Macaca mulatta: one gene and its partners. The protein of the gene in region 1 purifies or fractionates together with the protein of each later gene. This does not show direct contact. Links are inferred from orthologs where the notes say so. Each region holds a gene or a part of one and is shown in the gene's direction. Other genes may lie near its edges.

What was found.
Region 2: the proteins of CPSF6 (region 1) and SRPK2 purify together in Homo sapiens (affinity purification with mass spectrometry; 3 studies listed by BioGRID and IntAct, with this or other methods). This does not show direct contact. The link is inferred for Macaca mulatta from reciprocal best matches to the Homo sapiens genes CPSF6 and SRPK2.
Region 3: the proteins of CPSF6 (region 1) and RNPS1 purify together in Homo sapiens (co-immunoprecipitation; 3 studies listed by BioGRID and IntAct, with this or other methods). This does not show direct contact. The link is inferred for Macaca mulatta from reciprocal best matches to the Homo sapiens genes CPSF6 and RNPS1.

What each region holds. Positions count from the first base shown.
Region 1 is NC_133416.1:76,375,392-76,379,045, forward strand, and holds part of CPSF6 (cleavage and polyadenylation specificity factor subunit 6), read left to right. Parts: intron 1-426; coding exon 427-572; intron 573-1,463; coding exon 1,464-1,637; intron 1,638-1,766; coding exon 1,767-1,877; intron 1,878-2,316; coding exon 2,317-2,821; intron 2,822-3,153; coding exon 3,154-3,269; intron 3,270-3,654. UniProt on the Homo sapiens protein: Component of the cleavage factor Im (CFIm) complex that functions as an activator of the pre-mRNA 3'-end cleavage and polyadenylation processing required for the maturation of pre-mRNA into functional mRNAs.
Region 2 is NC_133408.1:144,711,855-144,715,508, reverse strand, and holds part of SRPK2 (SRSF protein kinase 2), read left to right. Parts: intron 1-2,693; coding exon 2,694-2,763; intron 2,764-3,413; coding exon 3,414-3,506; intron 3,507-3,654. UniProt on the Homo sapiens protein: Serine/arginine-rich protein-specific kinase which specifically phosphorylates its substrates at serine residues located in regions rich in arginine/serine dipeptides, known as RS domains and is involved in the phosphorylation of SR splicing factors and the regulation of splicing.
Region 3 is NC_133425.1:3,492,186-3,494,708, reverse strand, and holds part of RNPS1 (RNA-binding protein with serine-rich domain 1), read left to right. Parts: intron 1-1,912; coding exon 1,913-2,054; coding exon of another isoform or gene 2,055-2,058; exon of another isoform or gene 2,059-2,159; intron 2,160-2,523. UniProt on the Homo sapiens protein: Part of pre- and post-splicing multiprotein mRNP complexes. Auxiliary component of the splicing-dependent multiprotein exon junction complex (EJC) deposited at splice junction on mRNAs.

The sequences.
Region 1 (3,654 bases):
ACAGGCATGAGCCACTGCGCCCAGCTGTTTTTTTTTTTTTTTGAGACGGAGTCTCACGCTGTTGCCCAGGCTGGAGTGCAGTGGCGCGATCTCGGCTCACTGCAAGCTCCGCCTCCTGGGTTCACGCCATTCTCCTGCCTCAGTCTCCTGAGTAGCTAGGACTACAGGCGCCCGCCACCGCGCCCGGCTAATTTTTTTTTTTGTATTTTTAGTAGAGACGGGGTTTCACTGTGGTCTCGATCTCCTGACCTTGTGATCCGCCCGCCTCGGCCTCCCAAAGTGCTGGGATTACAGGCTTGAGCCACCGCGCCCGGCCAGCTGTTTTTTTTTTAAATAAAAGCAGATTAAGACCTTTTTACAGAAGGATAACAGTAATAATATTCATCTCTTTTTACTTTGTATCCTCGCCCCTTAAACACCTTTTAGGTTTGCCCTTGTTGGTGTTGGATCTGAAGCGTCTTCAAAAAAGTTAATGGATCTGTTGCCTAAAAGAGAACTTCATGGTCAGAATCCTGTTGTAACTCCATGCAATAAACAGTTCCTGAGTCAATTTGAAATGCAGTCCAGGAAAAGTAAGCAGTCCTCAGAGGCTTTTATTAAAATATGTACATTTTAACCAGTGCATTTGTTAGGCGTTTTATACTAGAGAAGTCATCTTAATACTTGCTCACTAGAAACTCCATTTCACAAAGTCCATGCTTTGAATTAGATTTAATCACTGGTTATGACTGTGGGCCTGTGTACTAGAAACCTACTCTTGTTCCATTTTTCTCCAGATATAACAGACCCAATACTACACAACAATGTGCAAGTTCTGTAGCCCTGCCATTCTTGTCCTGTTATTTCCATCTTAGATACAGAAGGAAACTACATTCTAATTCTTAGATTAAAGGAAAACTATGTGAATATGTATTATGGTGGGGGAGAGATCACTGATAACCAGAAAGTGTTCATTGATTTTTCTGCCTGGCAACAAGACCTTTCACCACTTGGTAAACTGAATATAGAAAAGATTTGTCATTACACATTTAAGGATGTTATCATATAAAGAGATAAGATGGATGATTATGTAATTAACAGAAATTCAAGTGGTTCCTTTTCTTTTAATGTTTTAGCACTTAAGACTTAAGAAGAAGTATGTTACAAAATTTAAATGATGTAATACTGAAATTAAGATATCTATTGAAGAATTTCGGTCTTGGCTGCTGCAGAGTGCTGGTATTTTGAAAGTAACTCATGATTACTTATGGAAAATATATTTAAACCTGAAAAATTTGAGTCTTTAAAAGTACCCATATAGATGTGAATGTTTTTCCTAACCCATACTTCCTTATGTAGTTTGCATAGGCACAAGGCATTTGCAAGTTAATATGTTAGAAATAGAGTTGTTTTTAATAATAATGGTTGCATTTCAGAATACTATTTTTAATAGTTGCTATTTATGAGTATTTGGATATTTGCAGCTACACAATCAGGACAAATGTCTGGGGAAGGTAAAGCTGGTCCTCCAGGAGGCAGTTCCCGTGCAGCATTTCCACAAGGTGGTAGAGGACGGGGCCGTTTTCCAGGGGCTGTTCCTGGTGGGGACAGATTTCCTGGGCCAGCAGGACCAGGAGGGCCACCCCCACCTTTTCCAGGTAAAACTTTTCTTAAATTACCATGTATAAAACATGTCTACCTAATACCTCTTTTCCTTTTCTCTCTTTTTCAAGTAATGCATTATTAATGTGACTTACTCTCCTTGTTATGCTATTTTTGGAATCCAGGAAATTTGATCAAGCATCTTGTTAAAGGAACTCGGCCTTTGTTCCTGGAAACTAGGATTCCATGGCATATGGGGCACAGCATAGAGGAAATACCCATTTTTGGCCTAAAAGGTCTTTATTTTTCTCCAAACTTGCTTGACTTATATATAGAATATTTACATCCGTCTTATTTTCTTACCTCTTAAAAAATCCTTTCAAGATCATTTTTCCTTGTTTCACTTTCTAGCTTGGCATCAGAGTAGAATATAAGGTGGGTGATTTCACTGTAAGAAGTGTGTGTACACTGAAAGATGGAAAATATCTCTAGGCATTGTAATCTTTTTTATTAAAGTTTTTGTTTCAGTAAGTTTTCTTAAGCATAAATGGAGCTAGTTAAGTTTGTAAGGATATACTTCATTGTAGTTGGTAGTGTAATATTTACCATATGGGTTTTATTTAAAGACAAAGACTTGGTGTATGCTTTATGCTTTTAAAGTATAATCTTGGCATATGAAAGAAAATATCTTATTAGTGAAGTGGTTTTTTTTTCTCTTTCTCCTTTGTTTTTTAGCTGGACAGACTCCACCACGTCCACCCTTAGGTCCTCCAGGCCCACCTGGTCCACCAGGTCCTCCACCTCCTGGTCAGGTTCTGCCTCCTCCTCTAGCTGGGCCTCCTAATCGAGGAGATCGCCCTCCACCACCAGTTCTTTTTCCTGGACAACCTTTTGGGCAGCCTCCATTGGGTCCACTTCCTCCTGGTCCTCCACCTCCAGTTCCAGGCTACGGCCCCCCTCCTGGCCCACCACCTCCACAACAGGGACCACCTCCACCTCCAGGCCCCTTTCCACCTCGTCCACCCGGTCCACTTGGGCCACCCCTTACACTAGCTCCTCCTCCGCATCTTCCTGGACCACCTCCAGGTGCCCCACCACCAGCTCCGCATGTGAACCCAGCTTTCTTTCCTCCACCAACTAACAGCGGCATGCCTACATCAGATAGCCGAGGTCCACCACCAACAGACCCATATGGTCGACCTCCACCATATGATAGGGGTGACTATGGCCCCCCTGGAAGGTAGGTTAGTGTGTATCTGTGCAAGTACTTGATGATAAAAGATAGGAACAATGACTGTAAATAATTAGATTGTAGCTATATAAATATGTTATTTCTGCCTTCCAAGAAGATGAGGTGTTTAAGCTGCTACCCTGTTTTAGCTGAAAGATACTGGTATAGGAGAATTTTTAGACATTCTCTTTGTAGCAAAAGTAGCATGCTTCAATATGGAAAAGTAACTACTATTGCTAAAGCACATGTCAGAAGCAGCTAGTGTGAATTGCTATACACTATTGTGACTAACTTAGGAAATCTGTTGAGTATGAGTTAAGGTTTGTGTTTTTATTTTACAGGGAAATGGATACTGCAAGAACGCCATTGAGTGAAGCTGAATTTGAAGAAATCATGAATAGAAATAGGGCAATCTCAAGCAGTGCTATTTCGAGAGCTGTATCTGATGCCAGTGCTGGTTTGTATATTTCTTGTATTAATATTTCTTATTTATGTTATTAGGAATGACCTAAAAATGTAAGTACAATCTAGAAGATAGGTCATTTACATGTTCTTTTTGTATTCCGAAATCATTACCTGTGATTTATTTAAAAAGCATTGATAAAAGCTCTGTGTCACAGTGTAGTGGGGAAAATCCAAATTTTAACTTATTTGGTATAGATGTAAGTCTTACCCTTGACATTTAAAGGTTCCGGGGCCTTATGACAGCTTATTTATTCTTATATTTGCAAAGTGATAATGTGCTTTACACACCTGTAATAATAAGTTGAGTTAGTATCATCACCATGAAAGTCTTTTGCAAATGGTGAAACAGTAAAAGAAGACATTGCCTTGCATAGTTA
Region 2 (3,654 bases), on another chromosome or scaffold:
AAAAATAATAATAAAAGTTATACTCGGGCCCAGCAGGGTGGTGCATACCTGTAATCCCAGCACTTTGGGAGGCTAAGGCAGGTGGATCACTTGAGGCAAGGAGTTTGAGACCAGCCTGGCCAACATGGCAAAACCCCATCTCTACTGAAAATACACAGATTAGCTGGGCGTGGTGGCACGTGCCTGTAGTCCCAGCTACTCAGGTGGCTGAGGCAGGAGAATCGCTTGAACCCGGGAGGCGAAGGTTGTAGTGAGCCAAGATTGCACTGCTGCACTCCAGCCTGGGCAATAGAAGGTTATACTGGGAGTACCTGAGTTGAAGGCAGAGGTTTTTCATTGTAGTGTGCATTTGCTCTGCTGTACATGTTGTATTGTTAAGAGAATCTAGTCACTCTCCAAAGAACCAAAAACGGGTAGCATTACAGCCTGCATCTTCCTTCTTCCTTTAAAAAAAAAAAAATTATTTCGCCAGACGCGGTGGCTCACGCCTGTAATCCCAGCATGTTGGGAGGCTGAGGCAGGCAGATCACAAGGTCAGGAGATCGAGACCATCCTGGCTAACATGGTGAAACCCCATCTCTACTAAAAATACAAAAAATTAGCCAGACGTGGTGGGGGGCACCTGTAGTTCCAGCTACTCGGGAGGCTGAGGCAGGAGAACAGTGTGAACCTGGGAGGCGGAGCTTGCAGTGAGCTGAGATTGATTATGCAATTGCACTCCAGCCTGGGCGACAGAGCAAGACTCTGTCTCAAAAAAAAAAAAAAAGAAAAATTATTTCATTGATTGGCTTCTATACATGTTTTCTTGGAAATATAAGGGTGCTAATCAAAATGATCATTTTTTCAAAGAATACATAGCTGACATATTTTGGCGGTAAGAAATATGTACAAAGCTGGGCACAGTGTAGTGCGCCTGTAGTCCTAGCTTCTCTAGAGGCTGAGAAAGGATCATTGGAGCCCAACAGGTTGAGTCCAGCCTGGATAACATAGTGAGGTCCCATCTCAAAAAATATGAAAGGAAAAGAAATGGATGTGACCTGATCGAAGTCATTTTGAAAATTAATTAAAAGAGTTAGCATAGGGCTCAAGGCAGGGGTTGAAAAGCAGCTTGGAACTTGATCCAAGCTTTTCAAGTCCTCGTTGTCCCATTAGAGTTTTCAGATTTTTCTCTTAGCTTGTAAGATACTGAGTTGATTGTCTCCCAGGCTGGAAGGACTCTCCTGGCCATTAAGTGTGTAATCTAGTTGTTCCACTTGGATTTGGGGCCAATAATGAGGTTTTCCTGCCCTCACCTGGGATTGGCCCAGCTGTCTTTTTTGTTTATTGAGTGGAAAGGAGAGGCCCTACGTAAGGGCCTTCCTGCGTTTTCTGCTGGTGCCTTCGGGCATCCACAGTGCTGGGACCACCAGCTCACCATGCTGAGATGTGACGTGTCTGTGTCCTGCTCAGACCTATGCCAGGTTCAGGGCAGGATCCTGAGTTCATAAACTAATGCTTACCGCCTGGGCAGCTGGCAGTCATCTTGTCACCATGCTTCCTTCCTTCAACTGATTCACATGCAGTCTTTTTTTAAAAAAAAGGTGAAAAGATGTGGTCCTGGGCTGACTGTCCCACTCTTGGTTTGTTAAAGACAGTGCTAGGAGAGGTGCCCCCTCACCCAGGCAGGTGAGTCTTCCCTTAAGGGTTCCTTCCCAACACTGTGTGGTCATTGAAAGAAAAAGAAGGTAGGTTGATGCAGTGCAGTTGCCCCAGCATTGGCTCCTGGGGGCGGGAGTGGGGAGGGCAGTCACAGATCCACAGGCATCAGTGATTGGGCTTCTGAACACCTTTTGGGATAGCAAGATCCATTCAGAATAGAAGCAGCTATGAGAAAAACCAGAAATGGGATTTAGCTTATTCTTTTTTTCGCTTTTAAAACATACTCTTTGATCAGCAGAGCAGTAGCAGTTGCCATATTTATATATTGTTACCAGCTTAAACTCATGTTCTTGAGGGTTTTTTTGTGAGCAAGGGAAATGGGAACAAATGGCCTTCCCTACATACTGGCATGCTGAGGGACAGCCAGTGGCCACCCAGGAAGCCAGTGCTCCGTGACATCTACAAAAGGGTCTGCAAGGCCATCTGCGTCCTCTGGCCCTGGGGACAAAGAGGGTCTGTTTTGTTTCCAGGTTTTCCTTTGGTTGAATCAGAAGTGAATGAGATGATGATGAAAATAGATGATGAGATGCTGAAAATAGTCCTCGGTTACTAAAACATGAAGGTCTTTGCCTAAAGGACGCAGCAGTGTCTGCTATACAGAGGCCAAGGCTATTATAGTGGTTGAGGCAGGTGCTGGAGTCAGATGGGCTTGGTTGAGTCCTGGGTTGAACTCTCGTTCTACCGTTTATAGAGTGCATACTGTGCTTTGCCAGGCCTGCACACAGGTGCGGCTGAATCACTGACGTTTGGTTTTGCTTCCTGCAAAATGAACAGAATACATAGCTCTTATATCTTTCCTTAGAAGAAATGTAAAAATACTTCTGAAACTTCTTTGAATGTGGAAGAAAGAAAAAAATTAGTATTGAGCACTTTTGGGAGGCGATTTTGTTTGATTCAGATCTTCATAAAGTGGCGGTCTCTTCTGTAAGGAGAAAAAGCTGTTGACTTGGGGGCCAGTCTCTGAAGTGCTTAGCATGTCGTCTGTTGTATCCTAGGCATTTGAGCTGGCAACGGGAGATTATTTGTTTGAACCACATTCTGGGGAAGACTATTCCAGAGACGAAGGTGAGTATTAGTGCCTGCTGAATACCTCATTCTAGGTCTCCTGCCAGCCCTGAACTTCTGTAGAGTACTGTATTTTTGTACTGAAATAGAGCCATGTTTTTGGTTTTCAAACACCAAATTCAGATGCTTTTCCTTTGAGTTTGACGCCCCCTCAGTCTCAGTGAATGGGCAGAGCCTGCCTGGTACAGGCAGCACTCCAGTGAGCCCTCAGGGGCCTACACCAGCGGCTCTTCCTGGCCTTGCACAGGGCAGGAACCCAGCTGTCTGAGAGAGGACAGATGATACAGACCTGAAACCTCTCTGTGGTCCTTTCGACCATTGATGTGCTGCCCATTTCTCTGTCCTGTTTGGGAGCTGAGTTGAAAACCCAGGAATTCTGGCTTGAATTCCATCTGTAAACCTGACCATCTCCATGCTTATTTGCTTGCGATGCTGGGGTAGCCTGGGGTGAGCTGGCCTCAGTCACTGTTACTGCTCCTGGTGGTGCCTGAGGCCTGTCATTCCTACAAGCCTCTGCATGGATGTGCTGCAGACACTGTTGATTTGAATCTATTTCTGATTTTTTACTAATTTCAATTTTTCCCTCTTCTTTTATCCCATCCTTCCCTTTGCCCCTCCCATTCCCATATCCTTTTTTCTCTCCTCCATAGACCACATAGCCCACATCATAGAGCTGCTAGGCAGTATTCCAAGGCACTTTGCTCTATCTGGAAAATATTCTCGGGAATTCTTCAATCGCAGAGGTAGTACCTCTTCTTTTTGAAAAGCGCCACGATGCAGACAGAAACTGAAGAGCAGCTGCTGATTTTAGCATTAATGGTGACAAAGGCATTTCTCCTAAATTCAAAACGCAACCCAGCAGAATTCCTGTGCTGATAGAAAAGTTGTCAG
Region 3 (2,523 bases), on another chromosome or scaffold:
AGAAAACAAAAGAGCCCTTTACCCCTTAGGGCACAAAAGGGGTTGTGCTTGGGCTTCTGATATCCCCAGCTACCAGACAATTCTTGAGGTTGGGGCACATGCTCCCCTTCCTGGGTTTGCACCTGCATTTCCTTTCCTCTCTCCCTGGAGCCCACATCCCACACTGCCTCTCCTCGCTTCATGCACATGGCATGTGTTTCAGTGCCATCCCCATGCAGAGCCACCTCTCTGAGACTGCTTGTTTCCAAACACAAAGTCCTTGGCATCTCCTGAAACTTCCTTCGTGCTGCTCCCCACCGAAGCCCCACCTCTCTGTCAATGGAAGCTCATCCCGATGGTCCCTTACCACCTCCATCACATCCATCACCAAGCTCTGGCTATTTTATCTCTCAGCTGTTCCCTGAATCCTTCCATTTCCCTACCAAATCATTTGATGTTGATTCATGCTCCTCTCAGTGCCGCAGAGCCCTCCTAAGAGAAGTTCTCGCCCTTCTCTTAGCCCCAGACCTGGCTTCCCTTGGTTGGAGGAGAAGGAAGCGCAAATGCTGATACTACCTGCATGGCCCTACCAGGAAGCCCCACCCTGACCCTGGGGCCTTCTGTTGCCTTCTCTCACCAGTGCTTTGGTTCCTTCCCAGCACAGGGCCCCGCAGAGCCCTTCTCTTCCACCTAGCAGATTCCAGCACATTCTTTTCTTTTTTCTTTTCTTTTCTTTTCTTTTCTTTTTTTTTCCTTGAGATGGAGTCTCAGTCTGTTGCCCAGGCTGGAGTGCCGTGGCTTGATGTCAGCTCACTGCAACCTCCACCTCCCTGGTTCAAGAGATTCTTTTGCCTCAGCCTCCTGAGTAGCTGCGATCACAGGCACATGCCACCATGCCCAGCTAATTTTTGTTTTTTTTTTTTTTTTTTGGCCGGGCACGGTGGCTCAAGCCTGTAATCCCAGCACTTTGGGAGGCCGAGACGGGTGGATCACGAGGTCAGGAGATCGAGACCAGCCTGGCTAACACGGTGAAACCCCGTCTCTACTAAAAATACAAAAAACTAGCCGGGTGAGGTGGCGGGCGCCTGTAGTCCCAGCTACTCGGGAGGCTGAGACAGGAGAATGGCGGGAACCCGGGAGGCGGAGCTTGCAGTGAGCTGAGATCCGGCCACTGCACTCCAGCCTGGGTGACAGAGCGAGACTCTGTTTCAAAAAAAAAAAAAAAAAATTTTTTTGTATTTTTAGTAGAGATGAGGTTTCACCATGTTAGCCAGGCTGGTCTCAAACTCCTGACATCGTGATCCACCTGCCTCAGCCTCCCAAAGCGCTGGAATTACAGGCATAAGCCTCTGCACCTGGCCTCCAGCACATTGTTTAGCTCTTGACTTGGATGACTCTTGACCTGCGAGGCTGCCTTGACACATGGACATTGGTGTCTCCTGTTGGTGTCCATGCTTCTTTTTCTCATGAAACATTAATCATAATGTTATTTCTGTGATTATCTTTTTTTTTTTTTTTTTTTTTTTTTTTGAGACAGAGTTTTACTCTTGTTGCCCAGGCTGGAGTGCAGTGGCACGATCTCCGCTCACTGCAGCCTCTGGTTCCCGGGTTCACGCCATTCTCCTGCTTCAGCCTCCCAAGTAGGTGGGACTGTAGGTGCCCGCCACCACGCCCAGCTGATTTTTTGTATTTTTAGTAGAGATGAGGTTTCAACATGTTAGCCAGGATGGTCTCAATCTTCTCACCTTGTGATCTGCTTGCGTCAGCCTCCCAAAGTGCTGGGATTACAGGCGTGAGCCACCGTGCCTGGCCCTATTTCTGTGATTATCTTACATTGTCATTGTCCCCCCAGGCTTGTCTCGTTCACTGTGACATGCCTTGTCTAGGGTAGATGCTTGTTAGATGTTTTATGACTTGCTTTCTTTTTCAACAGGACAAATCGATGGCCAGGAGATCACTGCCACTGCCGTGCTGGCCCCCTGGCCTAGGCCACCACCCAGGAGATTTAGCCCTCCCAGGAGAATGTTGCCACCACCGCCCATGTGGCGCAGGTCTCCGCCACGGATGAGGAGAAGGTAAACAATCTGTAGTTTTAGTGGACTAACCAGGCCACAAACCTCATGTGACTGCAGTGGCTTTGGGACCCTCTATCCAGCCCTGCCTGCCTGCCTTCTGCTGCGGTGGCAGGAGGGGGAGGGGGGCAGAGAGGAGGAGCCCTTCAGAGCTCATGGAGAGAGCAGGAGACGCCCTAGAGTTGCACCAACACAGCTTCATGAGTCTGGGCAATGGTGTGGTATGGCCTTCCTAGGAGACCACTAGACCTGTGAGCCCAGGTGCAGGCCCACTTTTTTTCTGAGCTAACAAGAAGGGCTGGGAGAGGGAGAAGTTGGGGGTCAGAAGAGTTGTGGGGCGGGGGTGGTAATCCCTCGGCAGACGCCACAGTTCGGCCTCCCTTGCCAATGGTGAGCTGTGCTTTCAGCCTTTGGGGAAGAGGAGGAAAGCCTGGGCTTCTGCCTTGGGTCTCACAAGCACCCGTTCCCAAGA